4 linked regions of the Macaca fascicularis genome follow. The protein of the gene in region 3 interacts with the protein of the main gene of each other region in a pairwise test. Links are inferred from orthologs where the notes say so. Each region holds a gene or a part of one and is shown on either strand. Other genes may lie near its edges.

What was found.
Region 1: the proteins of SUFU (region 3) and RCN3 interact in binary tests that used the Homo sapiens proteins (3 or more experiments, as listed by UniProt). The two-hybrid records come from large-scale screens. The link is inferred for Macaca fascicularis from reciprocal best matches to the Homo sapiens genes SUFU and RCN3.
Region 2: the proteins of SUFU (region 3) and HDX interact in binary tests that used the Homo sapiens proteins (3 or more experiments, as listed by UniProt). The link is inferred for Macaca fascicularis from reciprocal best matches to the Homo sapiens genes SUFU and HDX.
Region 4: the proteins of SUFU (region 3) and GLIS3 interact in binary tests that used the Homo sapiens proteins (3 or more experiments, as listed by UniProt). The link is inferred for Macaca fascicularis from reciprocal best matches to the Homo sapiens genes SUFU and GLIS3.

The regions. Positions count from the first base shown.
Region 1 is NC_088393.1:57,488,603-57,496,669, reverse strand, and holds the start of RCN3 (reticulocalbin-3), read right to left. Parts: upstream 4,226-8,067; 5' UTR 4,170-4,225; intron 3,752-4,169; 5' UTR 3,746-3,751; coding exon 3,504-3,745; intron 1,176-3,503; coding exon 973-1,175; intron 696-972; exon of another isoform or gene 623-695; intron 1-622. Other genes in the region: FCGRT (IgG receptor FcRn large subunit p51), read right to left, coding at 6,124-6,233, 6,617-6,733, 7,409-7,678. UniProt on the Homo sapiens protein: Probable molecular chaperone assisting protein biosynthesis and transport in the endoplasmic reticulum.
Region 2 is NC_088395.1:90,994,119-91,001,440, forward strand, and holds part of HDX (highly divergent homeobox), read right to left. Parts: intron 3,550-7,322; coding exon 3,342-3,549; intron 1-3,341.
Region 3 is NC_088383.1:111,609,710-111,617,031, forward strand, and holds part of SUFU (suppressor of fused homolog), read left to right. Parts: intron 1-188; coding exon 189-345; intron 346-2,777; coding exon 2,778-2,889; intron 2,890-7,322. UniProt on the Homo sapiens protein: Negative regulator in the hedgehog/smoothened signaling pathway. Down-regulates GLI1-mediated transactivation of target genes. Down-regulates GLI2-mediated transactivation of target genes. Part of a corepressor complex that acts on DNA-bound GLI1.
Region 4 is NC_088389.1:94,803,257-94,811,216, reverse strand, and holds the start of GLIS3 (zinc finger protein GLIS3), read right to left. Parts: upstream 4,470-7,960; 5' UTR 3,806-4,469; intron 1-3,805. UniProt on the Homo sapiens protein: Acts both as a repressor and an activator of transcription. Binds to the consensus sequence 5'-GACCACCCAC-3'.

The sequences.
Region 1 (8,067 bases), on a different chromosome or scaffold from region 3:
TTGATAGTAGCCCTTTTGGCCCCAGACTGAGGCTGTGATGGGGTAGCTTACAGGGACTGAGATGGCTTGACTGAGAGGAAGGGAAGGGCATTGTAATTGGAGGGAACAATATGGGCAGAGGGTAGAGGTTTGAGGAGTGTGGTGAGTTCAGAAAAACCACAGAAGATCCATTTGGGGCAGAAAATGCAGAAAAACAAACCTACAGGTGGAGATGTCCGGGCTGAGGAGTGGGACTGTCTCCTGGGGGCCCAGGAAGGGGAGGGAGGGGCAGAGTCAGTGCTGGGTGTGAAGACTCCCCTGGAGCCCTGTGGAAGACAGGCTGGAGGGGGAGGCTGGGGCCAGGGACGGAGAGGAGAGGGGGGAGGGAATGAGGGCTGTGTGTGTGTGTGTGTGTGTGGAGGGGTGGGCCACTGGGGCTGGGGCTTGGGACAGAAAGGAGGGATCTGAGAGTCGGGGGCAGAGTAACTGGCTTTGGGGTTCTCAGGATGATGTCACGGAGGTTAGGGTTCAGGATGACAAAGCATGGAAAGTAGGTGTCCTTGGCCGTGGATCTGAAGTTCCCTAGTCATACTGTCACATTGTCATAGAGGTGGCGGGTCCCAGAATAAACTCCCTGAAGGGAGCCTGGGTAGCTCAGTTGGTAGAGCATTGGACTTTTAATCTGAGGGCCCAGGGTTCAAGTCCCTCTTTGGGCGTGTTCAGTGGCTTTTAACACCTAATTCCGACTTCATGTTTGAAAAAAAGATCGTTTTTAGTATGCAGCTAAATACCAGAAAAATAAGCAAACGAAAAACAAAAAAGAGAAGCCAGAGGTGAGAAAGTGAAGATCTCAGTGATGGGCTCCTAAAAGTGGGTAGAGCCTGGTTAGGGGCCAGGGACTCCGGGTAAACGGGTTCAGGTTCTCAGAATGAGGCGGTCCAGAAGGTGAGGGTAACGTTGTATGGGGAGCAGGGTCGGGGGCTCGCCGCGTACCGGGCGCGTAGTGGCCATAGGTGGCGTTGCGCAGCTCCTCCCAACCCACACGCCCGTCGCGGTCCGTGTCGTACGTGTCCCAGGCCGCGCTCACCGAGTCCCGTATGTGCCGCTGCTGGGTGTGCGCGATCCACGCGCGAAGCTCGGCCAGCGATACCCAGCCGTCGCCGTCCCCCGCGCGGTCCATGCGGTCCACGATCCGCCTACGAGCCGGGGCGGGCACAAGTCAGTCTCTGGTCCCGCCCCAGGCCCCGCCCCTCGCACGGGGCCACGCCCCCTGGGACACATCGGATCCGCGGGTGAACTGGGGAGGGACGCGTGTCAATTTCGGGACCAAACCCAGCGGAGGACCCTCAGCCTAGGGTCCACCCCCGGGACAAGTCACGCCCTTCCTGAAAACGAGCGGGCCTGCTGGGAGCCCTGCGTGGGAGAGACCTACGACGATGCAGGGCCACCCTCTCCGCGCCGGCCCCGCCCTCGGCCCGCACGTGCTGCACCTCTAGCTGGGCTGAGCTGTGGTGGTGATGGGGAGCGCGGCGTCGCACTGCGCCCCTTGCCAGGGGGGCCCTGTTCCAAGACTGACTTTGAACCCAGACAGCCACGGCCACACCCCCGAGCCCCGGCTGTCTCAGGCCCCAACCCGCCCCATACCCCGCCCCCTTACCAGGCTGCGCGTGTCAATTTCAGGCTCCTATCCCTCCAGCCCTGCCCTGTGCTGCGCCTGGTGGCTTTCTCCTGCCTGTTCCCGGCTGAATCAGGCACTGCCCGAGGACCATCACCCGCAACCCCAGGGGCTCGGTCTCTCTATACCCCTCCCCATGCTCCTCGGGGCTCCTGTGCCCCTCCCCGTCACATGTCAAGCCACTTAGGTTCCATCTCGCCCCTTCTCTCGGGCCACGCTTGTCAGCTCCCCGGCCCTTCTCCTCTCCATGTCAGGCCGGTCCTCGCCCAATCTCTAATTAACAGAGGAGCCCTCCTCCCTGTCACCGTCCCTAGGCCCCCGCGGCCCCCTCCCTAAGGTCGAAAATCTGAGACAGAAAAAAAAAAAAAAAAAAAAAGAAAGAAAATCTGAGACAGCAGAGCCCTCTCCAGGCCTGCCTGAGTCACCGCCCCACCTCCCGCACCAGGTGGTCTCCGCTCCGGTCTGTCAAGGGCCGACTCTGTCCCCAGATTCACACCCTTCTCTGAAGTTACTGCTGTTGTTAAGAGCTTGGGCCCCACAGCCAGACATTTTAGGTCCAAATCCAGCCACTTCCTCTTACTGGCTGGGTGACTGTGGGCAAGTGACTTAACCTCTCTTGTGCCTCGGTTACCCCTCTGTAAAATAGAGAGAAAAAATGGTACCTACCCCAAAAGGGCAGCTCTGGGGAATAAATGAGTTTGGCCATGGAAAGCACTTAGGACAGGACAGGCGTGGTGACTCACACCTGTAATCCCAGGCTTGGCAAGCCAAGACGGGCGGATCGCTTGAGATCAGGCCTTCCAGACCAGCCTGGCCCACACAGTGAAACCTCATCTCTATTAAAAACACAAAAATTAGCCGGGCGTGGTGGCCCGAACCTGAAATCCCAGCTACTCCAAGGCTGACACGGGAGAACTGCTTGAATACAGGAGGTGGAGGTTGCAGTGAGCCCAGATAGTATCACTGCACTCCAGCCTGGGCAACAGAGTGAGACTCCGTCTCAAATAATGATGATAATAATAATATAATAGGCCGGGCACGGTGGCTCACGCCTGTAATTTCAGCACTTTGGGAGGCCGAGGTGGGCAGATCACCTGAGGTCAGGAGTTCAAGACCAGCCTAGCCAACATGGTGAAACCTCATATCTACTAAAAATACAAAAATTAACTGTGCGCAGTGGTAGGTGCCTGTAATCTCCACTACTTGGGAGGCTGAGGCAGGAGAATCGCTTGAACCCAGGAGGTGTAGGTTGCAGTGGGCTGAGATCGTGCCACTGCACTCCGTCCTGGGCAACAAAGTAAGACCTTGTCTCGGCCGGGCGCGGTGGCTCAAGCCTGTAATCCCAGCACTTTGGGAGGCCGAGGCGGGTGGATCACGAGGTCAGGAGATCGAGACTATCCTGGCTAACATGGTGAAATCCCGTCTCTACTAAAAATACAAAAAACTAGCCGGGCGTGGTGGCGGGCGCCTGTAGTCTCAGCTACTTGGGAGGCTGAGGCGGGAGAATGGCGTGAACCCGGGAGGCGGAGCTTGCAGTGAGCCGAGATGACGCCACTGCACTCCAGCCCGGGAGACACAGCGAGACTCCGTCTCAAAAAAAAAAAAAAAAAAAAAAAAAAAAAAAAGTAAGACCCTGTCTCAAAATAAATAAATAAATAAAAGGGCCAAAGGTCCTCTTCATGCCTCAATTTTAACTTAATTTGCTTTTCCCAAGGAGAGAAGGTAGAATTTCATTTCTCACAAAGAACTGAAGTTCAGTCCACGCCATTTCTCTAACCCCTGTCAATACCCCCGCAACTCTCTCCCAAACCCCACCTCCGAACACGCCCCAACCGCGTGTCTCTCCTACCCCAGACGGGCCTGGCTTTCCTCCGGGGTGAGTTGGTCGAATTCCTTGGCCACTTCCCGTCCCAGGAAAGCCTCATGGTCGTACTGGAAGTTCCCGTGAGAGTCATCATGGGGGGCGTCGCTCAGGGGGGCCGCCTGGTGCACCCTCCCCTGGCCATGAGGGCCTGCGTCTGGAGACGGTTTCCCCTGGGCCCCGTGCCTCAGTAGCAACAGAAGCAGCAGAAGCGATGCTCGCCACATCATCGGTCCCTGGGGAGTGGCAAAGGCCAGGGGTCAGGGGTTACAGGTATGAGGACAGACATGGGACAGGAGAATGGCGGGGTGGAGGGGTTACCTAGGGCAGGACAGGGAGATGGAAGTTGGCTACAAACTTTGGGGCTCAAAAAGGGCGGGCGATGGGGGAAAAGAGGGCGTGATGCTTAGAGGTAAAGCCACCTATTGGGGGGACCGACTCTTCTGACGGAGTCTCAGGGGGTCCCAGACCTGCGAGGGGGAATTTCAGGGAGAGACGTGGCGCACATCCCACGCAAAGTACAGGGCATAGTTGTGGCCAGCCAGAGGTCAGGGAGGCTCCCCGTCATTGCTCCCAGTCCGGACCCTGATCCTCGACCCGAGCCGCCCCGAGCCGCCCTGCCTGGACTGAGGCACCCCCACCCACTCCCTTTACCCAGTCATCCAGCTTCGTTCCGCTCTCCACGCTGGGCTCTGCGTTCCCGCAAAAGTGCCCAATTCGGCCGCTCTCCAGTCAGGCCCCGCCTCTGGCGGAGCAGAGCCCCGCCCCCCGCCCAATGAGCTCGCACGAGCGACTCACGGGGCGGGGCCAACGAGTGCCGGGAAGGCCGCAGGCGCCCCTCGCCACGTCCACAAAGGAAACCGCTGCCTGCCCGGGGAAGGCGGGTGGGCGACGCCGCAGTGACGCGGCCGGGGAGAACTACAACTCCTGTCAGTCGTCGCGGCACTCTGCCGTCCACCTCCAGCTGTTCTAGCCCCAACGCCTCACGGGAAATGTATTTTTCCCTCTTTCCCTTTGTCAGGCGGGTTTAAGAAAGAGGTGTACGTCCCAACAGTCCTATACCAAAAAAAAAAAAAAAGAAAAAAAAAAAAGAAAAAAGAAAAGAAAAGAAAGAAAAGAAAAGAAGGCCGGGCGCAGTGGCTCATGCTCACGCCTGTAATCGCAGCACTTTGGGAGACCGAGGCGGGCGGATCACCTGAGGTCGGGAGTTCGAGACCAGCCTGACCAAAATGGAGAAACCCCGTCTCTACTAAACATACAAAATTAGCTGGGTGTGGTGGTGCATGCCTGTAATCCCAACTACTTTGGGAGGCTGAGGCAGGAGAATCGCTTGAACCCGGGAGGCGGAGGTTGCGGTCAGCCGAGATCGCGCCATTGCATTCCAGCCTGGGCAACAAGAGCGAAACTCCATCTCAAAAAAAAAAAAGAAAAAAAAAAAGAAAAAAAAAAAGAAAAAAAAAAAAAGGACGAGCCGAATCGAGGGGCTGGAGGAAATACCCCATTTCCTCCAAGAGTGAACAGTGCTCCTCTTCTGCTCCAGTGATTCAGATGGTCAGACAGTGGCCAAGAATTCCTCAAAATGCCTGGCACGGCAGTTATCCAGTAAACATTTGTAAAAGTTATGAATTAAAAATACATGAGCACAGTAGCTCAACGCCTGTAATCCCAGAGTACAGTAGCTCAACGCCTGTAATCCCAGAACTTTGGGAGGCTGAGGCAGGTGGATCACCTAAGGTCAAGAGTTCCAGACCAGCCTGACCAACATGGTGAAACTCCCGTCTCTACTAAACATACAAAATTAGCCAGGTGTGGTGGCGCATGGCTGTAATCCCAGCTACTGGGGAGGCTGAGGCAGGAGAATCGCTTGAACCTGGGAAGCGGAGGTTGTGGTGAACCGAGATCAAGCCACTGTACTCCAGCCTGGCAGCCTGGCTGCCAGAACAGGCTGGGCGCAGTGGCTCACACCTGTAATCCCAGCACTTTGGGAGGCAGAGGCGGGTGGATCACCAGGTCAGAAGATCGAGACTATCCTGGCTAACATGGTGAAACCCCATCTCTACTAAAAATACAAAAAATTTTCCAGGTGTGGTGGCAGGCACCTGTAGTCCCAGCTACTTGGGAGGCTGAGGCAGAATGGTGTGAACCCAAGAGGTGGAGCTTGCAGTGAGCCAAGATCACGCCACTGCACTTCAGCCTGGGCAAACAGAGCAAGACTCCGTCAAAAAAAAAAAAAAGAAAGAAAGAAAAAGAAAATACATGACCTGATGTATAAAACTGGCAGGTTCCCCCGTGGCAGCATGTTACCTGTAGGAGAGATCTGAGCCTCAGCGGCCATTCAGTCCCCTGATTTATTCCCTTACCTCCCCTGCCTGAAAAATGATGAGAACACACTGATTCGGGCCCAAACTCGTGTTATATTATCGAGGTGGAAAAGAGCCATATGTATTAGGAGGGGAAACTGAGGCAGACCACAGGACGGGGCTCCAGAGGGAGGACAACAGGGCCCAGGACCCCTTCTGGAGGCTCAGAGATGCCAGTGTTCCAGGAGGTCTCACAGCATGAAAGGGGCCTGACTACATTCGCTTTTAGCAGTCGGAATGGCAGATGGTCAGGCAGTGGCTGGGATCACATTTATATCCTTCGAATCAGCATCCTGGGCCTCCCCCGGGGTGGGCAGGAGGGACCCGGTGTCATCTCCACGGAGGGAGATCCAAGGGGCTGTGGAGAGAGAGGGGGAGGTCATCAGAATCTCTGAGGTACTCTGGGTCTGACTGGCATCCCCCATTTCTGTGTGTGTCTCACACACACTCCCTCAGTCTCTAACCCCTTCCTTCTGGGCCTGTCTCCCCTTCTCCCAATTTTCCATCCCCCCTCTTTCTACATCTTTGCCTCCCTCCTCGGGGTCTCTGTCTCCCCCTTCCTCTGTCCCCTCTCTGTGCCTCTGTTCCCCCGTCTCTGGGTTTCTGTCTCCACTTCTCTCTGGTCTCTGTCCTCCTCTCTTTGGGTCTGTCCCCACACCAGGTCTCTCCTCCCAGGTCTGTGTGCCCCTCTCTTGGGGTCTCTGTCCCTCTCTCCAAGGCTCTTCCTCCCGCTGCCCACACCTGGCAGCCCACTCCTCATCCTTCTCCACAACAGAGCTCCTCCTACAGCCGCTGCCGTGAGTAGCAAGACACCGATGACGATTCCCACCACGAGCACCGAGGACTTGGCTGGAGTTTCTGCAGCCAGAGAACGCTGTGAGATGTGGAGCAGCCCGTCCACCCCCACCCAGTCAGGACACAGCACTGGGGGGTCCCAGTCCCTCCCAGCCTTGGAGATCCCAGCACCAAGTGTCTGATGGACAGAGGCAAGGCCAGGCGGGCGATCTCGGCAGGGTGCCCCCAGGCTGGATGTAAGAACCAGCCACAGCACGAGCGGCCGCCGTGGTCACACTGGCAATGGACCAGCAGCGGCAGGGTGGGGCTGTCCCGGCGCAGCGGGGAGAGGCAGGCAGAGCAGTGGGAAGTCAGCCTCATGGGCCCCGGCAGTAGCAAGGCAGCAAGTGGTCAGTCTTGGTGAGGACGGGCATAGCAGACAACGAATGGTCAGATTCCAGGAAGACCTGCAGCCGCAGCAGCAGCAGGATGGAAGACGGTCAGACTCAGGGAGGACTGGCCATGGTGGTTAACAGCTCTTCAGACTCAGTGAGGCCAGAAGCAGCAGGACGGAAGGCAGTCGGCCTTGGGAAGGACAAGGCATCAGGCTTTGGGGGCACTGAAAGGCGCGAGGCACAAGGCAGTCAGATTCAAGGAGATGGCAGCAGCGGGGAGGAAGGTCAGACTCAGGAAGGACCGGCGCAGCAGTGAGACAAGGCAACGGGAAACCAGGAGCATCAGCACCGGGCGGGGCCTCACCCAGCTCCACCCTGAGGGGCTGCGCCAGCCCCGCGTGCTGCACGATGCAGCAGTAGTGGTGCTCATCGCCACTTTTGACTGTTAGTGACGACGAGGCGTGGAAGGAGCCGTCACTGTTGGGGCCGAAGTCGCCCTGTCCGGTGCCAGCGGCCATCCCATTCCGCAGGAACCGCAGTTGCAGTTCCGGAGGGTAGAAGGAGAAGGCGCTGCAGGTAAGCACGGAAAAGCCAGGGTTGCCGGGTCGGGCCTTCAGGCGCATGGAGGGGGGCTCTGCAGGAAACCAGGCAGACAGGTCTAAGCCCCGAGCCCACCACTCCCAGGGCCAGGGCTGGGTAATGACAGAAAGAGGCCTCCATGTTTGCAATGTGCTAACCCCGGATAATGTGGTGGTAAAAGAGGAGGCGCTTCCCAGGTGACAGAGACTGAACCTATCCACCCTGAAGGTGTCCCCTCAAGATGTCACCTCCCTGGGCTGGGAATGGTGGCTCACGCCTGTAATCCCAACACTTTGGGAGGCCAAAGTGGGTGGATCACCTGGGGTCAGGAGTTTGAGACCAGACTGGCCAACGTGGTGAAACCCCATCTCTACTAAAAATACAAAAATTAGCTGGGCACCTGTAGTCCCAGCTACTCAGGAGGCTGAGGCAGGAGAATCGCTT
Region 2 (7,322 bases), on a different chromosome or scaffold from region 3:
GTGTAGGAGCAGTGGTCCATTCAGAGTGGACCATTAAGTGGTCTTTAAAATTAACTTTCACTTTTTTTCTTCAACTACTTATTTTTTAAAATTATCTTTTAGGTGGAGAAGTGGGAGTTGGGAAATGAAATTTCACTTAGGGTCTTCTGTACTTTCTCTGAATATTTTCTCTCAGCTTACCCACTCAGGCACAGAAACACACAAATCTCTACTTCCCCACTCTCCTTCAACCAGCCACTATTCAGCAGGCTCTAAAACACCAGTCATGAGTCACTGGGAATATCCAAGTATCTCCAGGCACATGCAATTTAGTAAACACTAACAAAAGACAGAAATGGTTTAAAGGACCAATTATATTAGAAATAAAGGGCTTGGAAATGGTGCAATGTTTCTTTTTTTCTTGATAATTTTAAAATCTGCCTCACTATTTTCCTGTACACTCAATTCTCTTGTATCATCTTCAATATGAATAACAAATGTTAGGAGAGAGAGAGAGAAAGAGAAGAGAGAGTGAGAGAGAGAGAGAGAGAGAGAGAGAGAGAGAGAGAGAGAGAAACTTGAATATTCACATTGATAACCTTTCAAATACCTGATCTTTAAATACATGGCCCTCTTAATACTAGTAGATTTGCTTTCCCTTTCATTACTCAACCTACTGCAATCTGTTTGCCTCTCCTCTTCCCATGCAGTTAATTGCTTTTTTAAAAGAATTTCTAAAGCACCAAATTCAATGGCTTTCTCATCCCTTTTTCTACCTAACTTCTATGAGACCATGAGACTTTTTTCATTTTTTCACTTAACTACTGAAATAATGACACCTCTTCCTTCTGAAATCTCTTTATTTATTTATTTTTCTTAATTTGAGAGACAGAAGTCACTATGTTGCCCAGGCTGGAGTATAGTGGCTATTCACAGGTGCAATCAGAACACACGGAAGTGTCAAACTCCCAACCTCAAGGGATCTTTTTCGCCTCAGCTTTCCAAGTAGCTGAGACTACAGGCATGCCACTGCACCTGACTCTTTCCTTGGTTTTAGGAAAAGCATACTGTCCTGCTTCTTCTGTTTCTGGATGTTCTTTCAGTGGCTCCCTTTTCTCCTCCAACGCCCAAATCTGGACATTTATCAATACACAGTCTTTGTTCATTGTCCTTTCTTGTTTTTCATTTTTTCACTTAACTAAATCTTCAATTTTCATGGTTAGATATTTTTTGCCTCAATGTGGGTGACTTCCATATTTCTTCTTATGTCTTAAGCCCTCATCTGAGTTTCACACTCATATTATCCAAAGACCTGCTTGGACAGCTCTACATGGATGTCCAAACACTATATAAAATTCAATACATGCAAAGCTGAATTCATCTTCCTACAGTATTCTCTAAGTTTAATACAATGCCAAGAAAAATCTCGAATGAATTTTGGGGAAGGAGATTTGGAAAAGGCACGCTTAAACAGTTCAAATTGTATGACTAAACAATTCAATAATCAATCTACTACAAAGCAAAGAAGAATGATTGCCCTACCGGATATTAAGACATTTTATAAAGCCAGAGTTGTAAACCATCAGATCAGTGTAACAATAAGAAGTCTCACATTTGACCCACATGTGTATATGTGTATGCCTGCATGTGTGTGTATATGTGTGTGTGTGAGAGAGTGTGTGTGTGTGTATTTAATAAAAAGCTACATTCCAACTCACTGGTAAAAGATGAGTTATTCAACAGATGGTGTAGGGACTATTAGTTAACCATTTGGAAAAATAAAATTGGATGTATTCACACATCTTAAAGCAAAATTAATTCTAGGTGAAATAAATATCAAGTTGTACAAATTAAACTATAAGGATACTAGAGACAAATGTAGGGGTATATTTACATGATTGTAGTACAAGGAAAGACTGTAATTATGACCCAAAGTCAGAAACCATAAAGGAAAGTATTGGTAGATTTGAAAACTTAAAAATTACAAAAGAAAATCTGACATCGGAAAACATCATAAGCAAAATTAAAAGGCAAAAAATAAACTGGAAAATATATTGTAAGTATTCTAAACAGAGCTCAATGAAACCAAAAGCAAAATGAGAAACGTCATGATCCTTTTTGTTTCTCAATCACGGATACAAAATCCTATATATTGTATGATTCAATTTATAGAAAATGCCCAGAAAAGACAAATTTATATCATCATAAAGCAGATCAGTGACTTCCTAAAGTTTAGAGTGGGGAGAGGGAGTGACTGCAAAGGGGCTAAAGGGAATTATTGGAGTGATGAAAGTGATATAAATTCAGATTTCAGTGATGATGATGGTTGTAGAATTGAATAAAATTTACTAAAAATCATTGAATTCTATATTTAAAATGAATGATTATATTTTGAGACAGGGTGTCACTCTGTCATCCAGGTTGGAGTACAGTGGCACAATCACTTGAGCTCCCTGCAGCCTCAAACTCCAGGGCTCAAGTGATCCTCTCACCTTAGACTCCTGAGTAGCTGGGACTGTAGCTAATTAAAACAACAACAACAAAAACAAAAACAAACAAACGAACAAACCAAAAACCACTTTTTGTAGAGATGAGGTCTCATAATGTTGCCCTGGCTGATTTCGAACTCCTGAGTTCAAGCAATCATTCCATAACAGTCTTCCAAAGTTCTGGGATTAGAGGCATTAGTCACCTCACATGGCCTTACAATGGATGAATTTTATGATGTGTAAATTAAATCTCAATAAAAGTGTTAATAAAAATATGTCAGAAGAGAATCATATCTATGCTTGAGGACAAATGAAACATACTTCTCATGAACAGATAGTGCCATTACATGATATTATTTGAATTCTCTTTTAGAGAAACATTGAGAGGTATCATAAAGATAATCCAGACTAATTATCTTTAGCAGATGAGGAAACTAAAGCCCAATTAAATACTTTGCATGAAAGTCTCATGAAAAATCGCATGAAAAGCTAGGAGTTGCATCCAGATTTCCTGACTACTAGCCTGGTATTTGTTATATTATGCCATACTCTTTCATTATAGTGTGTTTATAATGCTCTGACCTAAACTGACTAGAATTCCAATAAAATAAAAATCATTTACTTAATTGTAATGTATGAATTGTAATAACATTTATAAATGTAAGAGATTATTATTGTTGTAGATGAATGTTCCTTGTGATGACGATGTGGGAGATTGTTTAGGTGGAGGTATTAAAAATAAATCTATTCTTTTCAAATACTTGGCCAAATGTTTTGAAGACTCTAGACTTGAAGTGCAGTAAGCTGAAAAGCAAGTAAAAAATGCATCAAATTTACAAAGGCTATTATTAGAAGATTCAGCATATAAAGTACCTTGAGAGCTTCCTTCAGACAAACAGATGGATACTTCATCATTTCTGTCATTATCCTCTCCTACTTCAGGCCCAGCTTCCTCTCCTGGTGTGAGTGCAGATAAAGAACCAGACTCAGGCTGCTCAGAGAAATCAGCAGGGCCTCCTCTTGGAGGTGGAACTTCAATCCCCATTAAACGATATTTCCTTCTTCGATTCCCAATCCAAGTCTTTATAAGAGAAATATAGGAGGAATTTTTGTAAGCATAGAGAACTTAGCAGTTCTGGCCAGTAAAATAATGAATGAATGCTGCATAAAATAGGATTTAAAGGAATAAATGGGTACATAGAAAGATAAAAACGTTTATGTCAATATGCTAAAATAAAAATAATTATGTTTTATATTTTTATAACTTATTTATTTTATTTATAATTGACACATAATAATTGTACATGGTTATGGGGTACAGTGTGACAGTGTGAGGTTTCAATACATGTACAGATTTTATAATGATAGACTCATGATGGTCAGCATGTCAATCACCTCAAAATGTTAATAGTTATGACTTTTACTTTAAAATATTTATTAGCAGAAAGAAGGTATTTATATAAATATTCATATTTTTAAGCAACATGTAGTCTAATGAGGATGACTTTTTTCTGTTTTTGTTTTGTTTCTCAAGAAAACGATTCACCAAATCTTTCAAAAGAAAAATAAACTGGTTCTTTTTCAAACAGCTATAACTCTAATTCATATCCTATTTCTAATCTTGTTCTTCCTATGCAAAAATGTGCCCTCTGTTAATTTTGTTTGGCTCCATATTATTACCTTGGCATTTCAAGCACTCTGAAATTTCATTTTACTAAATTTACAACCAATTTTGAAGACATTTTGTAATGAAATAATTTTAGAGTCATGGGAAGTTTCAAAGATAAGTCTTGTTTATTCTTCACTCCGTCTTCTCCAACTTCCATCTTACATAACTATAGCAAAATATCATAAAAAGGAAATTGATACTGTACAATATGTGTGTATAGTTCTATGTCCCTTTATCACACCATTCCTCTTCCTCTCCTTCCCACTATCCCTAATCTGTTTTCTGTCTCCATAACTGTGGTTTTTCAAGAATATTATATAAATGGAATCATGCAGCATGTGACCTTTTGAAATCAACTTTTTCAATTCAGCACAATTCCCTGGAGATTCATTCAAGTTGTGTGTATTGAGCCCATTCATTTTTATTGCTAAGCAGTATTCCATGATATATGTTTACCCATGTTTGTTTAACCATTTACCTGTTGAAGGATGCTTGCATTGCTTCAAATTTTTTGCTTATTATATATAAAGCCATTGTGAACAGTAACTTGCAGGTTTTATGTAGACATTGTTTTTATTTTTCTAGGATATAGGCACAAGGATGCAAATTATGGATCATATGGCTATATGTTAAGTTTTATAAGAAACTGTCAAATTGTTTTCCAGAGAAACTGTTCCATTTTACATTCTTATCAGCAATATATGAGAGATCTAGTTTCTTAGCATTCTTGCTATCATTTAGTATTGTCAGTATTTTCTAAAAACTTTTAGCTGTTCTCATAGGTGTATGTAGCAACAGCTCAACAAGTTCTTAATGTTGACCATATTTCCATGTGCTTATTTGTCATCCATATATTTGCCATCCTTTTCAGTGAAATGTCTCTTAATTTTCTAATTGAAGTGCTTGTTTGTTTTCAGTGTTGAGTTTTGAGAAGTTCTTTATATATACTAAATATGAGTTATATGTCATATATGTGGTTTGCAAATATTTGCTCCCAGTCTGTAGCTTGAATTTCTGTCCTGTTTAGTCTTTTGCAGCACAAACTTAACACTGCTCAAAAAAATAAAGGATATTAATTTAAAATAATAAACAATGGGTTCACTGAAAAGATTGGTAAACTTGGCAAACATCTAATTGTTAAACACAGTTTAACGTGGGCCTGGTGACTGGTGAGCACCTGTAGTTGCATATATTCGGGAAGCTGAGGTGGGAGGATTGCTGGAACCCAGGAGTTCAAGGCTGCAGTGAACTATGATCACATTACATTATACATAGTTTAACATAATTTTTATCAAATTCCAGCAAGATTTTTGTAGATACATATGAGACAATTCTAAAATTCATGTGAAAATAAAATGAGTGAGTATGGCTAAAACAGTATTGAATAAAAAAGAATAAAGTGGAAAGAATATATCTACCTAATTTCAAGACATTATATACTTACAGTAATCAACAGTGTGTGCTATTAGCAGAGGGCTAGCCACAGATCACTGAAACAGAATAGAGAACCCAGAAATAGTCTTACACTAGTATGACCAGCTTAGCTGACTTTTGACAAAGGTACAAAAAGAATTTAATAGGGGAAGGGTATTTTTTTCAAGAAACAATGCTGGAGCGACTGGATATTCATAGGAAAACAAAAACAGACCCTGTCCTAAATCTCACACCTTATACAAAAATGAACTCAAAATGCTTCATAGATTTAAATATAAAAAATAAAACTTTAAAACTTTTACAAGAGGGCATAGAGGAGAATCTTTGGGGCTTCAGGATTAGTGAAGAATTCTTAGAAATGGTAATAAAAACCACAATCCACAGAAGAAAAGTAACTTCTGGGGTTTTGATTGGGATTGCATTGAATCTATAGATCAAGTTGGAAAAGAACTGAAACCTTGATATAATTGAGTTGTTCTATCCATGTCCATGGAATATCTCTCCATTTATTTAGATGTTTGATTTCTTTTATCAGAGTTTTGTAGTTTTCTTCATGCAGACCTTGTGCCTAAATTTATACCTAAGTGTTTAATTTTGCAGAAGCTAAAGTAAATGTTTTCTTTTTTTTTTCTGTTTCATTCATTTTTGTTCATACCTTAGTTATTTCCTTCCTTCTGTTTGCTTTGTGTTTATTTTGTCGTCTTTTTCTAGTTTCCATTTTTTTCACTATCTTCTTTTTTTAGAGATAGGATCTCACTCTGTCACAGTAATGTGATCATAGTTCACTGTAGGCTTGAACTCCTGGGCTCAAGCAATTCTCCCATCTCAGCCTCCTGAGTAGCTAGAACTGCAAGTGCTCTCCAGCCACCATGTCCAGCTTTTGTCTAGTTTCTTAAGGTGGGAGTTTAGATTATTTATTTGAGAGTTTCCTGTTTTCTAATGTACTCATTATGATACATTTTGCTGTCAACACTACTTTATCTGCATCCCACAAATTTGGCATTTTATTCCTTTTGTACTGTTCAATGTACTTTTACCTTCAATATTCTTTCTCTAATACTCTTCCTTTCTTTATGTAGCTCTGCATTTCTGACCTATATGATTTCCCTTGTATCTGAAGGACTTTTCAACATTTCCTGCAAGGCAGTTCTACTGGCAACACATCCCTTCAATTTTTGTCTGAAAAAGTCTATTTGTCCTTCACATTTGAAGGATAATTTCACTGAGTACAGAATTGTGGGTTGGTATTGTTTGTTTTTTCCTCTCAACACTTTAAATATTTCATTCTACTGCCTTCTTGCTTGCATGGTTTCTGAGGAAAAGTCAGATTTAATTCTTACTGCTGCTCCTCTGTAATTAAGGTATTTGTTTTTCCCCTCTGGCTTCTTTGAATTCTTTTTCTTTATCATTGATTTTTGCAGTTGAGTATGATATGCCTAGGTGTCGTTTTTTATTGTTTGTTTTGCATTTATCCTGCTTGGCATACTCCAAGCATTGTGGATCTGTGGTTTGATATATTACATTAATTTAGGGAAAATTCTCAGTTATTATGGTTTTGAATATTTCTTCTGTTCTATTTTCCTTTTTTTTCTCTTTCTGGTGGTATTCCCATTGGACATATGTTGCATCTGTTATATTTATCCCACATTTTTGTATATTATGTTCCATTTTTAATCAGTATTTTTGTTTTATGCTCTCCAGTTTTGGAAGTTTCTATTGATATATCATTAAGTTCAGAAATTCTTTCCACA
Region 3 (7,322 bases):
AGCTGGTAGAGACCATCATGCATTGGTAACCAGGGCAGAACAAGGTCAGAGATCCTGCTCTTCCAGCATTTGTCCCATGCTCAGTACCACAAGGGCTCAGTAAATACTGTAAGAGTGGTGGCTGGAAGAGTGGTCACCTTGGGCCACCAGTTCTCTGAAAGAACTCTGGCTCTTTGGTTCTTTTCAAGCAGGAGAGAGTTGACAAAGGCATCGAGACAGATGGCTCCAACCTGAGTGGTGTCAGTGCCAAGTGTGCCTGGGACGACCTGAGCCGGCCTCCTGAGGATGACGAGGACAGCCGGAGCATCTGCATCGGCACACAGCCCCGGCGACTCTCTGGCAAAGGTGGGAGCCAACACCCAGCCTTCCCCCAGCCTTCCTCCTTCCTTTTCCCCAGGGCCTGGTTTCCAGGCTCTCTAGGATGGGTCTCTAACAAAAACAACCCATTCAATAGTTTATTTCCTGGCATGATTTAAACAGCAAGTGAAGTCTTCCAGCAGGGTGGAATTAAGGGAGCTTTATTGGCCCATTTCTAGTTGTGTTTCCTGTGTGTATTTCAAATGCATCACCAGCAGGCACCATTGTGTTTTAGATTTGTCCCTTGCAATCTGAGGTCATGGAGGTGAGTGGAAGCCTTAGAACAGTTACAGGAAAAGTCCATAGTCCACCCAAGTGCAAGAGAAAAGTGTCGGCCACCCACGGAATTGACACAGGGCCCAGCTCTGGCCTGAAGGCCATGCCAGATCCAAGGATCACTCTGGCCTTGGGCCCTCCCAGGCCTTCAACAAGAGAGGCCTGAGTGTGAGGCCGGCTTGCAAATTGCCCACCTCCTGTCATACAGATACAGGGTTAGGGCTGTGGGCAGGGCCTCTGGACCCACTGCATTCCGGATGGGGTATTTGGGAAGGAGGATGTGGCTGTCCTTTTGGAATCTCCCTATGCTGATCTTGGCTACAGAAACAGTTGTGGTTTTTAGTAGAGGGCGTCCCCAACTAACTGCAAAGGAAAAGCAGCCACTTACATATACATGTGTTGACAGCTTCTTTGTCTACTTCCTTTCTTCATTCTTCCATCTTTTCTTTTTTTGAAGAATAAGATGTCTACAGCCCTGAATAAAATCCTTACATATATGATAACACTTATAAAAGGTTTTTGTTCATTCTGTAAAGGACAAACTTAAACCCCTAGTGCAAATATTTGAGCCCTTTTTTTTTTTCTTTGAAACAGGGGTCTCTGTTGCCCAGGCTGGAGTACAGTGGCTTGATCTTGGCTCACTGCAACCTTCACTTCCCAGGCTGAAGTGATTCTCCAGCCTCAGCATCCCAAGTAGCTGGGACTACAGGCATGAGCCACCAACGCACAGCTAACTTTTGTATTTTTTGTAGTCAGGGCTTCGCCATGTTGCCCATGCTGGTCTTAAACTCCTGAGCTCAAAACAATCCACCCGCCTCAGCCTCCCAAAGTGCTGGGATTACAGATGTGAGCCACCTCACCCAGCCGAGCCCTTTCTTTCCTTCCTGTTTGTTTTAATGGCATGCCAAGTCTGTTGGAGGCTCAAAGACAGGGTATACAGTTATTGGAATCATTTGGTTGCTTTTGACAACCAAATGAGGTTGATTTAAAGAGGGAGTCATAGTCTTGTCTAAAATTTCAGTCATTATTGGCTATTTTTAAAAATTATAAATTAATCCATCCTACTGTAACAAATCAGATCGTTAGAAAAGTTAGTAATCATCTCCTTTCCACTCTAAGACCACTCTTTGAGCAACTAACTTTAATTTGCTTTTTTGTATCTGTTTACAGTTTGCAGAGATAAATTTGGATCCAAATCTCAGTACAGGGAACCAGACTAGTAAGCTTCAGCCCAAAGACCAGCAAAGCACCTTACAAAGAAATAATCCCACCAGGGGAACTCTTTCACTTCCTGGCCCTTGCCCCTCCATGGAGAGGCAGAGTTTCCTGGGATAGACCAAGGTGGAGGGATGATCTCGTCTCACTGACTTGAATGCAAGGGGAAGGGGTGGCAAGACCAGATGCTAGTTGACCACCCAGAACCCAGAAAGGTGTGTGAGAGGCACCTGCCCATTCATGGCAGGGCACTTGCAGCCTTCACTCACATCCATTTCAGTGGGCAGAATCCCCAGTAATCAGTCACTGTGCAGAGCCACGTTAAGGGTAAACCTCGGGCCTGTGACACAGGAAGGAAAACGATGGTGGAGAGCGCTTTTCTGAACTCTAGAGGCTGCCCCTGGATTCTACAAGAATGGCACTCTTCCAACCTAGAGCTTCTTTTTTTTTTTTTTTTTGAGACGGAGTCTCGCTCTGTCGCCCAGGCTGGAGTGCAGTGGCGCAATCTCGGCTCACTGCAAGCTCCGCCTCCCGGGTTCACGCCATTCTCCTGCCTCAGCCTCCCGAGTAGCTGGGACTACAGGCGCCCGCCCCTGCGCCCGGCTAATTTTTTCTATTTTTAGTAGAGACGGGGTTTCACCATGGTCTCGATCTCCTGACCTTGTGATCCGCCCGCCTCGGCCTCCCAAAGTGCTGGGATTACAGGCGTGAGCCACCACGCCCGGCCGAACCTAGAGCTTCTTAAGAGCACAGTTGTCCCCTCGCAATCTGTACTCACTCAGCACTCACGTCTGGATGCCTAGAGTGGGCTCAGGACTGGCCAATGTGGTAGTTTTTCTTAGCACCTCTGCTGAGCCAAGTTTTAAGAGCAGGGTGAGAGTTGCTGGGAGCCCACTGGGCCACCGGGCAACTTAGTGGTGTCGTTGCAGACACAGAGCAGATCCGGGAGACCTTGAGGAGAGGACTCGAGATCAACAGCAAACCTGTCCTTCCGCCAATCAACCCTCAGCGGCAGAATGGCCTCGCCCACGACCGGGCCCCGTAAGTTCCCCAGTGTCCATGGACTGGAACAAGAGGATGATTTTGTCCTGAAGGGCCTGTTCCTGTGGATTGCATGAGAGAGAACAATGCACATAGCCCTTGCTGGATGGGCCCAGGATCTCTAGGCTTAAGGGCAGGCATGGTCTGGGGCACACAGATCTATCTGTGGGTCATAGGAGAGGGCCTCAGAGGGGACCCAGCAGACCGTGAATATAAACATCAGTAAATATTTACATGAGCCGTGTGAACAGACAGGAGGCCAGGTTGGGGCGAAATCTGACTTGGGGCCTCCCAGCCTTGTGGGAGCCCATTGTGCTGAGCACGGTTCCCTCCTTATCTCGGTCTCGGCCAGAGTTGCCCTTCCTTCCTTCCTGGAGCCTGGTCTCCGGCTGATAGCTGCAACCCGGGGGGCCTCCCTCTCTGGCCAGCCCCATGCTGGATGCCTGCGGCTGAGGCCCTTCTTCCTGCCTCTCTTCCCTGGGGCCCAGGGAAGGGAAAGGAAGTCTTTTGCAGGCCTCTGCTGCCTGTCCAGGGGCCCCTGTAGCCCTCGGGAGAGACTGTGGCCACCCCAGAGGTCAGATCCGCTTCCTGCCAACCTCTCTTCCTCTGATAGAGGGGATGAGTGATGGGCAGGGCTGGAACTGGGCACCCTCCTCTGCCCTTAGTCCCAGGGCAGCTCTAGGGAATAGCTGCTGGCAGGAGATACTAGGGGGCTGGCAGCCCAAAGCAGGAACCTTGCCTGCCAGGGAGGAAATTGCTGTGCCTTGGGCTGAAAGGGAGGTCAATCATCCTGCAAGACCAGGGTGATCTAGCCTTCTTCTACGAAGTCTTTATTACACATTTGCTGTCTGACAAGCTTGGGCCCAGGGGGCCATCTTGGGTGCACAGGCTCTTCCTTTGGGAGAACATGAGTGAAACAATTACCTTTTAATAGTGTGTGTCTGGCTGTCGATGTGATTTGTTGGAAATGGCTGCTTCTCTGGATTCTAGCTCTAGTTGCTGATCATGGTTCCCAGAAATAGTAACACTTTAGTGCACTACAAAAAAGACAGGTCCACAGGATCTGGGGTAGTTAGGGAGGGCATCTTGGAGGAGGAAGAACATGGCATTGACCTTCAGGACGCCTTAGAATTTTAATAAGCAGAGGAAGGAACTCAAGAGGATATAGCACAGGGGAGGCCTGGCTGGTTAAAGTTCAGGCTGCCTCCTGAGACCTGACTGGACTAGAGTTACTCTGGGAACAGGGCTGTGCTGAGAGTTGAGCTCTTTGGCAAAAGCCTGGAGAAGCCTCTACCGCCACCTCAGAGCAGCTTTTAACTCCGGCCTGTGGGTTTCTCCAGCCAGCTGCCCTGAAGTAGCTGGCTCGAGGCATCCTGATCATCCCCTGGCAGCAGCAGATGGCCACACCAAGGTCATACGACATATGGAAGCTCTCTACCTGTGAGTCTGGACCCTGTCCCAGGTCTACACTCCTTCCCATTCCCTGAGCTTGGCTTCTCGCTTTGGGCCTCCTTGGCACTGTTGGGAGGCCAAAGGTACTGGAAGGCCTATAACATGGAGATAGTCTCAGTCCAGATGGCTCTCTGCCTCTGGAAGCCTGGGGTTTCTAGGCAGAAGGGCACAAGCTCCTGCAGAGATACAACCTTCTTGCCCCTCTTGTGTATCTGGAACAGGCCTGAGATCTCACTCTCTGGCTTGGGAGCACTTCCAGCTACTGCACCCCTGGACATTGCAAGGGGGCACAAGGCTCTGGCCTCCTAGATATACACATAAGCCCAGACTCAGCCCACACCCTAACTGGGCAGTAGGGTATTGGTTCTGGTCCAGGGGGTCTCTGTAGACATAAGGCAGAGAGATTGTGGCTTCTACCCTTTGGCTTGAGTTAGCTGAGATACAGAGAGATGGGTGGGAAAAGATTTGAGGTGCCGGGTTTGTCTCCCCTTCCTGAAGGTTTAGTGCCCAGTCAGGTCTCTGAAGCACCAGGATCTGCAGTCTGACGGGATTAGAATGTTTCCTCTGAGGCTGTCAGTGCTGGTTACCCATTTGTTAGCAATTGGTTGAGAAATGGTTTCTCCTCCTCCTTTGCCAAGAACATTCTCCAACACACCCCTTAAGCCTGTCAGACTCAAGCTTCCTGTTATCTCAGGATCGATCATGATGGACTCAGTTCAGTTCAGTGAGCGTGATGTTAATATCTGTGCTGCCCACTCTGGGACCTGACCCCATTTCAGATACACCACATGGATTGCAACTGAGAAAGCTGACCCAAAATGTGCTGGCACCACTGTTTGCTCCACTCCCTGTGCGGGGGCAGCCAGCGTGGGCCATATTTTGTCTGCTGGTCTGATTTCCCCTTAGTCAGGACTTCTGGGCCAGGAAACTCTTATGCATGGGTCTTCCTGGTTTTGTCTGTGGTCTGAGGAAGATACAGAGCTAGATCAGAGGCTCAGAGCAGCTGATCAAGCCTGGGCATTAGCAGCTGGGTGCCGGCCTACTTGGGGGCATCAAGCACTTGCTCTTTTCACACTTCAGCAGCAGCTAAAACATTATTAGTGCTTATTCTGTGCTAGGTAATGTGCCAGTTACTATCTGCTGCCATTCATTTATCTCATCCTCATAGCCATCCTGTGGTCGATAATCTTACATATCCCCCTTTAATGGATGAGGTACAGAGAGGCTAATAAGTATCTTGTCCAAGGTTAGAAAGAGGTTGCGCTTACTTACAGCCATCTATCAGCCATTAAAATGGATGTAATCTTCCTTACCCTATTCTCAGGGACCCCATGGGGGACACATCAGACTGTGTTTCCGAGAAAATAATGACCCTTACTGGTAGAATTCATCTAACTAGTTGCAGCATGAATCGGGACCTCTCACATGGCACCAAGGACAAAGCCAAAGCCTCATGTTAGAAGCCTATTGGGCTTATTTAACTAAACTGTAGGGGAGTTAAATAACTCCTAGGAGATGCCATGAGCCTCGGTGATTCCAAATCCCAGAAATAACAAGCTATGTCATAATTGGCTCATTTATACCAAAATTATTTTGTGACACAAGGCCTTATTTTCTTCATGTACAGAAACTAAAACAACCCTATCTCTGGCCCCTCTACCACCTCAGGGCAAGGGGATTTCTTTCCATTTCGAGGGTCTATTTCTTCCTTTCCAGAAAGGCAGGCCCCCTGGGTAACCTGCTCCTCTCCTACTCTTCGTTGCCAGCCCTCCTCCCACTGCCTTCCCAGAAGGAGAGTCCTTGGCCCTCTTCAGGGCTTCTTCAGCATTTCACAACCCTTGCATTCCAGCCATGAAATTTGTATCTGGCTTTTCCCAAGATGATCAGTTGAGAAAAGCCTCCTTCAGCTTGCTGGCGCCTCCCTTCCCACTGCCTGCTCGGGTGAGTTTGGGAAGGATGGGAAGCAGCTCCTTTGTGCCGCATGAGGACAGCCTGGCTTAAAGACTGGGCCTGCCAACATCTGTAGGGATTTGAGGAGGGAAAAGTTCCTGGGCATCCTCTCTGAGGTCACCTGGTCAGCGTGAACTACGGAGTCTGGTCTCTCTACAGTGCACAGTGCGGTCAGGTGAATTGTGTGTAGAGGTTTTCTTGTCTTTCTGTCTTTTTTTTTTTTTTTTTTTTTTTTTGACACAGGATCTCCTTCTGTCACACAGGCTGGAATGTGGTGGCAAGATCATAGCTCACTGCAGCCTTGAGCTCCTGGCCTCAAGTGATCCTCTTCCCACCTTGGCCTCCCAAAATGCTAGGACTACAGGCATGAGCCGCCATACCTGGCCTGTATTTCTCTAAACTGTTGCTCAGATGCTGGGAACCTGCATCAGTATTCTAGGACCACCTCCTCCCTCAGCAAGTGACTTACCACCTGAGGCTGGGGACCCTTAGGGAGCACTCTGAGTTGTGCCCTCCCAGAGGGGGACAGGGCACATGCATGTGTGCACCCTTACGTTAGAGGGGAAAAGTTCCTGACTCTGGGAGAAGCACTTTGTAGTTGAGGCACCTCTAAAAAGCGAACTCACCATCACTGCTGAGATTCTCAGTCTTCTAGAATCACACCAGCAACTTTCAAGACCTGTAAAAAAAATTTTTTGGCCTTAATTTCCTGGACAATTAAGATTCTGTATCACGAATTCCTCTGCTGTAACATTCTCATTTGCAACACCTCCCCAACATACACACACACACATATACATAGATTTCTCCGTGCTCTTATGAGTGTCTCTGCACCTGTCTGTTTGGCCTTTGATTGGGGTGACTTTGCTGCCTCTAATTCCCATCTTGAATACCTTGTAACCTGGTCAGGGAGTCATCCTTTCGAGAAAATTGTGTTTTGTTTTGCTCAGCCTATGAGGTCCATGAAGATTAATTAGAAGAAGAAAATATCTCGTTTGCATCCAACCTACCAGTGAATTGGGGTGAAGGAA
Region 4 (7,960 bases), on a different chromosome or scaffold from region 3:
AGGGCAGTGGTTACCTTAGGCAGAGGTGGTAACTGGAATGGAGTGTGAGAGATGTGTCTGGTGTGTTAATAATGCTCTGTTTCTTGATCTGGAGGCTAGTTATGTGGGTGTGTTCCACTTGCAAAAAAATGCATCAAGCTTAAGATAAGTGTGCTTTTCCATAAGGATATCTTATTTTATCTCAATAGAAAATTTGGCTTTTGTGTCAACTCCGCCTCAAGTAAGTGGGAAACTACAAAAGCTGGGGACTTGGGCATCTTTTAATCAAACTATGTATCAATGTCATTTCAAAGGTTTTGTTATGTGTGATCTTCCTTGAATGAGAATGGCAACAAGTTTTTTTAATCACACAGATTTCCTATGTGTCTTTTTTCTGCAGTCCTGATACAGTCTATGAACCAACCAAACTTAGGGAAAAGTAAAACAGTTAAGTCCTGTATTTCCACCTTATTTACAATATAATGCCCCCTACAGAAAATAATAATCACAGAAACACAGAAAATGACTTCTCCAGAGATGAGAAATGTGCACGTGATGCCACTTTCTCAGTTATCTCCTTCCAGAAGTACATCTTCTATAATCTGGAAGAAGAGTAAATTAACACTCCAACTCCAAAGATCAATAATTATGATATGAGAGAGACAACAGTGGAAAGAATAAACGTCCTTGGGCTTAATGTACTAGGAGGAAAGAACAGTCAGAGAAAAAAAAAAAGACCGAGAACACTGAGCTCTCTTCTGAAATGGCAGAAAGACCACTTTCTCCTGCATAAATGAAGTCAGGGCTGATACAAAACATTTTCTGGCTATTATTTAACCTCCCCTACCCAGCCTATTTTAGCTCAGTAGGAATTTCACCCACTAGGTGGACCTTGGAGTTCATCCACCACCCCAATAAAGATTGCATTATTTGAAGCAATGATCACTTCTTCCAAGCAAACCAACAAACCCTAGGTATTCAACCTCTGATAACCTGCCTACTACTAAGGAACTTCAGTGGAATTAGGGGACTAAAGATGCTGTCCCCAAACTGGCCTAAGGTGACCCAAGGGGAGAAGTTAACAGCAGCAGTTAAATTGATCTACTCATACTCAAGGATTACTCAGTCTTATGGGCAAGAAAAGAAAGCAATTAACAAACTACCAATAAGGAAAGGTATTTTGAAAATAGTGGAAAAAATGCCCCCTACCCTTCCTCTCAAAAGTAACGTCAGAGCTAGTCTGGCTTCACAGACAACTAGTGAAAATATATGAAAACTGCAGTACGGTTATAGATTATCCTTACACTTTAGCTTGTTCTCAATTGGAAAAAAAAATGCACATAATGTAACACTCTCCTGTCTAAATTGCTTCAAACTTTCTCAAAACGACCTTCATCGTGGTGGATTCTTTTTCTGCAAACCTTTGCAGGTTGCACCTGCTTCACACAGAACCACTGGAAGCAAACTAGGAGGAGACAGAAGAAATAGGAAGGTTTAAACCAACACAAATCGATTTTGTACCAAAAAATTAAGAAGGTTTAGTCTAAAAAGGGAGGGCCAGTGAGAAACAAGACAGAGGGGGAAACAGACACGTCTGGCTAACTCCCAAGGTAGAAATCATGACTCATCAAAGCTTTCAGAAGGGACAGAACCAGACTTTGCATTTGTCTTGAGTTCATCTTCCAGCCAAGAAATGGTCTCTTAACTGGTAACAGAACTTTAAGGGTTTGTCCTGGGTCTGTAACAGCTGGCTGTGAGGTCTTGGGCAAAACCTTTAACGTCTCTGAGGCTCGGTTTCCTCATCAGTAGGTGACTCCAAGGTCCACCCTAGCTTTAATAGTCTATCCTTGAGATTCTCGGTCCCATACTAACGGGAACTGGTCCACTGGGGGGAGCTGCAGAACTTCCTTCTCACAAACTCCAGGGCCCCGGGGCCCCAACTCTCCAGAGATGCTGAAGTCCTCGAGGAAGGTGGTTCTGCCAGCCTCTCTGTGAAACGGGGCCGCGACTGCACGAGTCCTGTCTCTACGGACCCTGCTCCTTGAGATTCCGGAAGTAGCTCCCTACCCCTGCCCCGGGTTTAGATGCTCCAGAGATGAGGGCCAAGCTTATACCAGGGCAGACTAGCGGGGGGCTCAAGGAGGCACACAGAGCAGGGGGACGGAGACCTCAGTCCTTGAGACCGCTCCTGCCAAGAGGAGGGCAGGAGAAGTCGGGAGAGGTGCCGGGAGCCCGCCAGGCGGGGGAGAGGCGCGTGGGACAAGGCAGGAGGAGGGCAGCCCTTATCGGTTCCCTATCCCACTAGCTTCGCTGCCGGGGTCGGAAATCCAGGTTCCTTGGCGCGGAACTAGGGGCGGGTCCGGAGGCGGAGGCGACGGCGCCCGGCGGGGTGCGCGCGGCTGCGACCCCGTCACTCCCCCGCCGCCTCCGCCCCTAACCCTCGGCCCTGTGCGCGAGCGAGCGAGCGAACGCAGCAAAACAAAACAAACTAGTGCCGGCTTCCTGTTGTGCAACCCGCTCCTGAGTAAGTCGGGGGCCGAAAGGGCGCCGCGGCTGGGAAGTCCGGGCGGCCGGGACCCGCGCGCGCTGCCCGGCCCGGCCGGAGCCTGTAGCCCGGAGTAGCCATGGCCGGGCTCACAGCCCCCGCACGCCGGCCACCGGCCCCCGCCAAGCCAGTGTCCTAAGCCTGTGGTTTCCCTTCGCTTCTCGCCTCCCAAACACCTCCAACAAGTCGGAGGGCGCGAACGCGGAGCCAGAAACCCTTCCCCAAAGTTTCTCCCGCCAGGTACCTAATTGAATCATCCATAGGATGACAAATCAGCCAGGGCCAAGATTTCCAGACACTTGGGTGACTTCCTTGTCCCCGAGGTGACTTGTCAGCTCCAGTGAGTAACTTGGAACTGTCGCTCGGGGCAAGGTGTGTGTCTAGGAGAGAGCCGGCAGCTCACTCACGCTTTCCAGAGAGCGACCCGGGCCGACTTCAAAATACACACAGGGTCATTTATAGGGACTGGAGCCGTGCGCAGGACAAAGTCTCCGAGACTGAGACATTTTCCAAACAGTGCTGACATTTTGTCGGGCCCCATAAAATGTAAACGCGAGGTGACGAACCCGGCGGGGAGGGTTCGTGTCTGGCTGTGTCTGCGCACTGGCGGCGTGGGAGGTTATAGTTATAGACCCGGCGGCTGCGGGTCGCCGGGCCGGTACCGGCGAGGAGTGTAGGTACCCTCAACCCGACCACCTCTTGCAATCATAGGGACACCGGCTTGGATGAGACACAGGCGTGGACAACAGTCTTCGTGAATCTCCACAAACACGTGGAACTTGAAAATACAACTACTGCCCCGTGTGTGCGCGTGAGACCTCACGTCACCCCATCAATTCCCACTTCGCCAAAGTTTCCCTTCAGTGGGGGCTCTGGAGTGGCGTGCCCCACGCCCGTCCGTCCTGCAACTTGCCCTGATTGTGTACCCCTCTGCCCCCTCTACTTAAAATGAAAAAAACAAAAACTGTTCCTAATTAGCGAAACTTTAAAACCCTGTTGATCTGTCTTCTACATTGGGCGCTGTTAGGCCACTGACAGGAACACTGTTTGAACCCTAATTGTTGCTATCAGTCTCAGTAAGCGCAGGTCTCTCAGTGACCTATGACTCTGGGGATTGGGGTGCGCGTATCCTTAAACCCGCGCGAACGCCACCGGCTCAGCGTGGAAAACTATTTCTAATCCCTAGTTTGCGTCTCTGAGCTTTAACTCCCCCACACTCTCAAGCGCCCGGTTTCTCCCCGTCTCTCGCCTGCGAGCAAAGTTCCTATGGCATCCACTTACCAGGTAACCGGGATTTCCACAACAAAGCCCGATGTGCGGGTCCCTTCCGCCGGCCAGCCAGCGCGAGTGACAGCGGGCGGCCAGCCCTGGCGAGGAGTAACTTGGGGCTCCAGCCCTTCAGCGCGCTCCGCGGGCTTTGCCTCCTTCGGAAATGAAAACCCCCATCCAAGCCGGGGGACGGAGCGCGGAAACCCGGCCCAAGTGCCGTGTGTGCGCGCGCGTCTGCGAGGGCAGCGGCGGCAGGGGGAGGAGGAGGCAGAGGCGGGGCGGCTGGACCCTCGGCATCAGCTCATTCTCCCCTGCTACACACATACACACGCAAATAATGTTTCTAAAAAGTTGAGTTGCGACTTTGCGCCTCGCCTGTCCTGTTCATCCTTGTCCTGGGCCGGGGAATGCTTCTGGGGGCCGACCCCGGGATGCTGGCTAATTGCTGCAGGCGGCTTCCGTCGCCGGTGCGACCCTGGACGGCCGCGGACGGCTTACAAGGGGTCCCAGGAGGGGCAGTGGCCGCGGCACTCGGCGCCGGTGCCCGTGCGCGCCGCGCTCTGGGCTGCCCGGGCGGCGCAGTGTGGACGCGGCTGCAGGGAAAGGGGAAGGGGGAAGAGGGAGGGAGGAAGGCGGCCCGGCGAGGAGTGTGGATGTGTGTTCGGCCGCGAGGGCCGGCCTGCACCCAGCTGCTTCCTGAGTGTGAGCGCCGGAGGGGGAGGGGGAAGAGTGGGGGCGGGCTCGCTGGTCACTAGGCTGGCCAATTCGAAGGCTGAGCTTGTGTCTCCCTCTTGACGCATACACACACACACACACACACACACACACACACACACACACACACACTCTCACACTCCCAGTAAGCCAGAAGTCGAGGAATTCCAGAATTCCAGAACAGGGTAATAGCAGGGAGACACTTCGCCTTCTTCCAGGCCTTATTTGTTAAACTGACTTTTATTTTAACATGAAAAGATGTTAGTGTTTAGCCAGGATTTGATGTCAGGTCATAAAAAAATAAATAAACAACAACAAAAAAAAATCCGGTAGTAACACAGAGAGAATAACACAGTGAAAAATGGCAAAAGGGTTGATTTGAAATTTGGGATCGGATGCACATAACAACTTCGAAACTGGATAGGTAAAGCACTAAGGAAGCGTTTGGCATCTTTTCCAAGTATAGGCAGAGAAGAGAGGAAGGTGATGGAAGTGTTGGAAGGGTATAAAATTCCTAACACAGGCAGTTAGGAATGGAGGTATATTCCCTGCATATGTTACATCTACAAAGTGGCACTTTATGAATTCAACATCCTCAGCCTTAAACCCCACCTAAGCTCTGACCCACCATCCCTTCTGCTTGTGTTGATCAGAGCCCTCAAAAGGTTGTTACAAGAAAGTCTACTTTTAGTAGTTCATCACATGTATTGCCACAGATGCAAGGACTTCTATCTTGGGAATCTAGGTATGTAATGCACACAATAGTTGAGAGTATTTTTCACCCTCATGAATTAAATGAGTGAGGATGCCACCAGACACTTTTAGAATTTCACAAGTCCTTATATTCTATTCTATTGTTCCTACTCCAATATAAATTAGCAATCAGGTAGTAGATGCTTTGATCAAGATAGAAGTCCTCAAGGACACAAATGACTTACCCCAGAAAGCCAAAACTAAAAGACTGTTGGCAGTTTTCATTTATCTAATTTCAGTAGGAATATTACTAGGTTTGGTCTATATCCATGATATTAACATAACCAAAAGAAACCTGGTTTCCACAGTACTTTTTCTTTTCTTTTCCTTCTCCTCGGGACACAAACTCATCAGAATATTAATCACCAGAATATTTGTCAGCATTAGTAGGGGAAGAAAAATAATAAGAGTTTAGGATATGTCATTCTGTCAATTTTCCAGTTTCTCTCTGTTCATCTCTTTTAAATACAAGTATCCAGGCCCAAGATTGGCAATAGATGGGCTCAACCACACATAAGAAAAGAAAATACTCATAAAATGAAGCATGCAGCAACATCACAAAAACAAAGAAACCAAGTGGTGGAAATTGCCATGACTATTCCATTGTGGCTAGTTATTGCAACATGCCTGACATTCACATAAAAACTCTTCCTCATTAACTCCAGCCTTCAGGAACAGAGCAAGATGAGAACACTAACCCTTCAATGCATCATGGGAACTTCTGTTCATCAGATTCTTGTACTGTACAACAACTGCTCCCCAGGAACAAGACAAGCCTGGGTGGAGGCTGCAAAAAACCTTTCCAATGTCCCTTAAATATCATTTCAAATACGATGGTTTTGATGCATAGACTGGTATCCTAGGGGCTTGCAGAGCTTCTAAAACTTCCCAAATGATGGGAACAGCTTAGCTGGAAAAGAAAAAATATATAGTGCTACACCCAACTTTAATCAATGGCTCATGGAAAAAAACACTGGGAAAGTTATGAGTCATTGACCTGGAGATCCCCAAAATCTCTTCATTTATAAGAGCCCAAGAGTGGGAATGTCATTTTATTTAGGTGTGATTTTCATGAACATCTAACATTCCTAAAATATTTACCATTAAAGAGGTATAGTGCTTTGGTTGGATTTTTTTCTTTTCTTTTCCTTTCTTTTCTTTTCTTTTTTTTCTGGCCAAGAATGTAGATCTGCAATGTTCTTATATTCCATGGGTTATAGTAAAAATGCAGTTGTTGTTGTACCAATACAACCCTGGAGTGACTCAGAATGAGATCTGTACCTCTTCTGGGCTGAATTGGTCAGCAGGGGTGAGGGAGGGTGGTAATGAGAGACAGTGAGAAAGGAAATCATGTAGTTCGGAAATGATACTCTCCCCTACCCATGAGCTCTCCATTGTGCTTAGGAATCATACTCTGGCAGCCCTTCAGCCAGATAGGTGGGAACTGCAGCCCAGTCTGTATCTTCCCTCTCTAGAGACCTGTGTTGTATGTGCCTCAACCGCTGACTCAGAGCAGCTGACTCAGCAGACAGGCCCCTGCTGCCAGCTCCAGTCCAGTTCTCATTCATTTGAGAAATATTCAGTGAGTACATACTCTGTCCAAGTATTGGGACTAAAGGAATTAACACGTGTATGCATTCTACATGTGAGGATATTACGGAAAACTTTTTGCCCAGTGTCTCAGTTATAGCAAACCCTCAAGAAATGAGGACTCTCTCCATATATTACCTTGTCTAATCCTCAAAACAATTGTATGAGGTGGATATGGATAATCTCCTATTTAGAAGCCAAGAAGTTGAAGCTCAGTAAACAGTTAAAGAGAGTCAGAGACAGAGCCAGATATGCCAGTTTAGAAGCCCCAAGTTCAATCAACATTACTGTACCACAAAATAATTGTGCATGCCCTTTGAATGTGTATAAAACATATTGCAGGTGTATAAAGTGCAAAGCATCTTGTGATCAATGTTGGATGAGCACAGTGAAGTTTGTAGGGAGTGTGGAGGAGGCACGAATAATTTCCTGCAATATGACATGGTAGCCTGGCTGTTTGAGCTGGACTTCAAAGAATGAGCAGAGAACTGATAAGCAGAGGAGACCATTTCAAGTAGAAGAATCAGCATCAGAAGGGGCACAGAAGGCATAAGTCCTGCATAGCAAGCAGCTCACTCAAAGCTAGAGTACAAAATAGAAACATCCACAGTCTCATAGCAATGAAACCCTCCAGAAGGAACGTCCTAACAGCAAAACTTCAGAACTGTTATTTGAGTCACTTTGAGTGCTCTGACAGTAAACTACTTACAAACTTGCAAAGAACTATAATCAGATTCCTACTCCCATAAAGTGTCCATGAAAAGAAACAAGTTTGAACCCCAAAATGCAGAGAAATTGAGCTAATAGCACCAGTGATAGTATGCCTAGCTATTAAAACACAGACGCACACACACACACACACACACACACACACACACACACACACACACACAAAAGCTGGCAAGAGTCCAGTTACGTAGAAATGCAGCGGAAAAAGTTAGTGTTTGCCAACTTTAAGAGGGGGAACTAAATGTGTAAAATGGAAAATTTCCATTTTCCTTTCCTGTGTGAGTAGTACAAATAGTGGAATGCAGCAAATTTCACATTATGTTATCAGTGTGTGATATATTAAGAAAACTTAAGCTGATTTTTCTACTAATTTGTCACAAG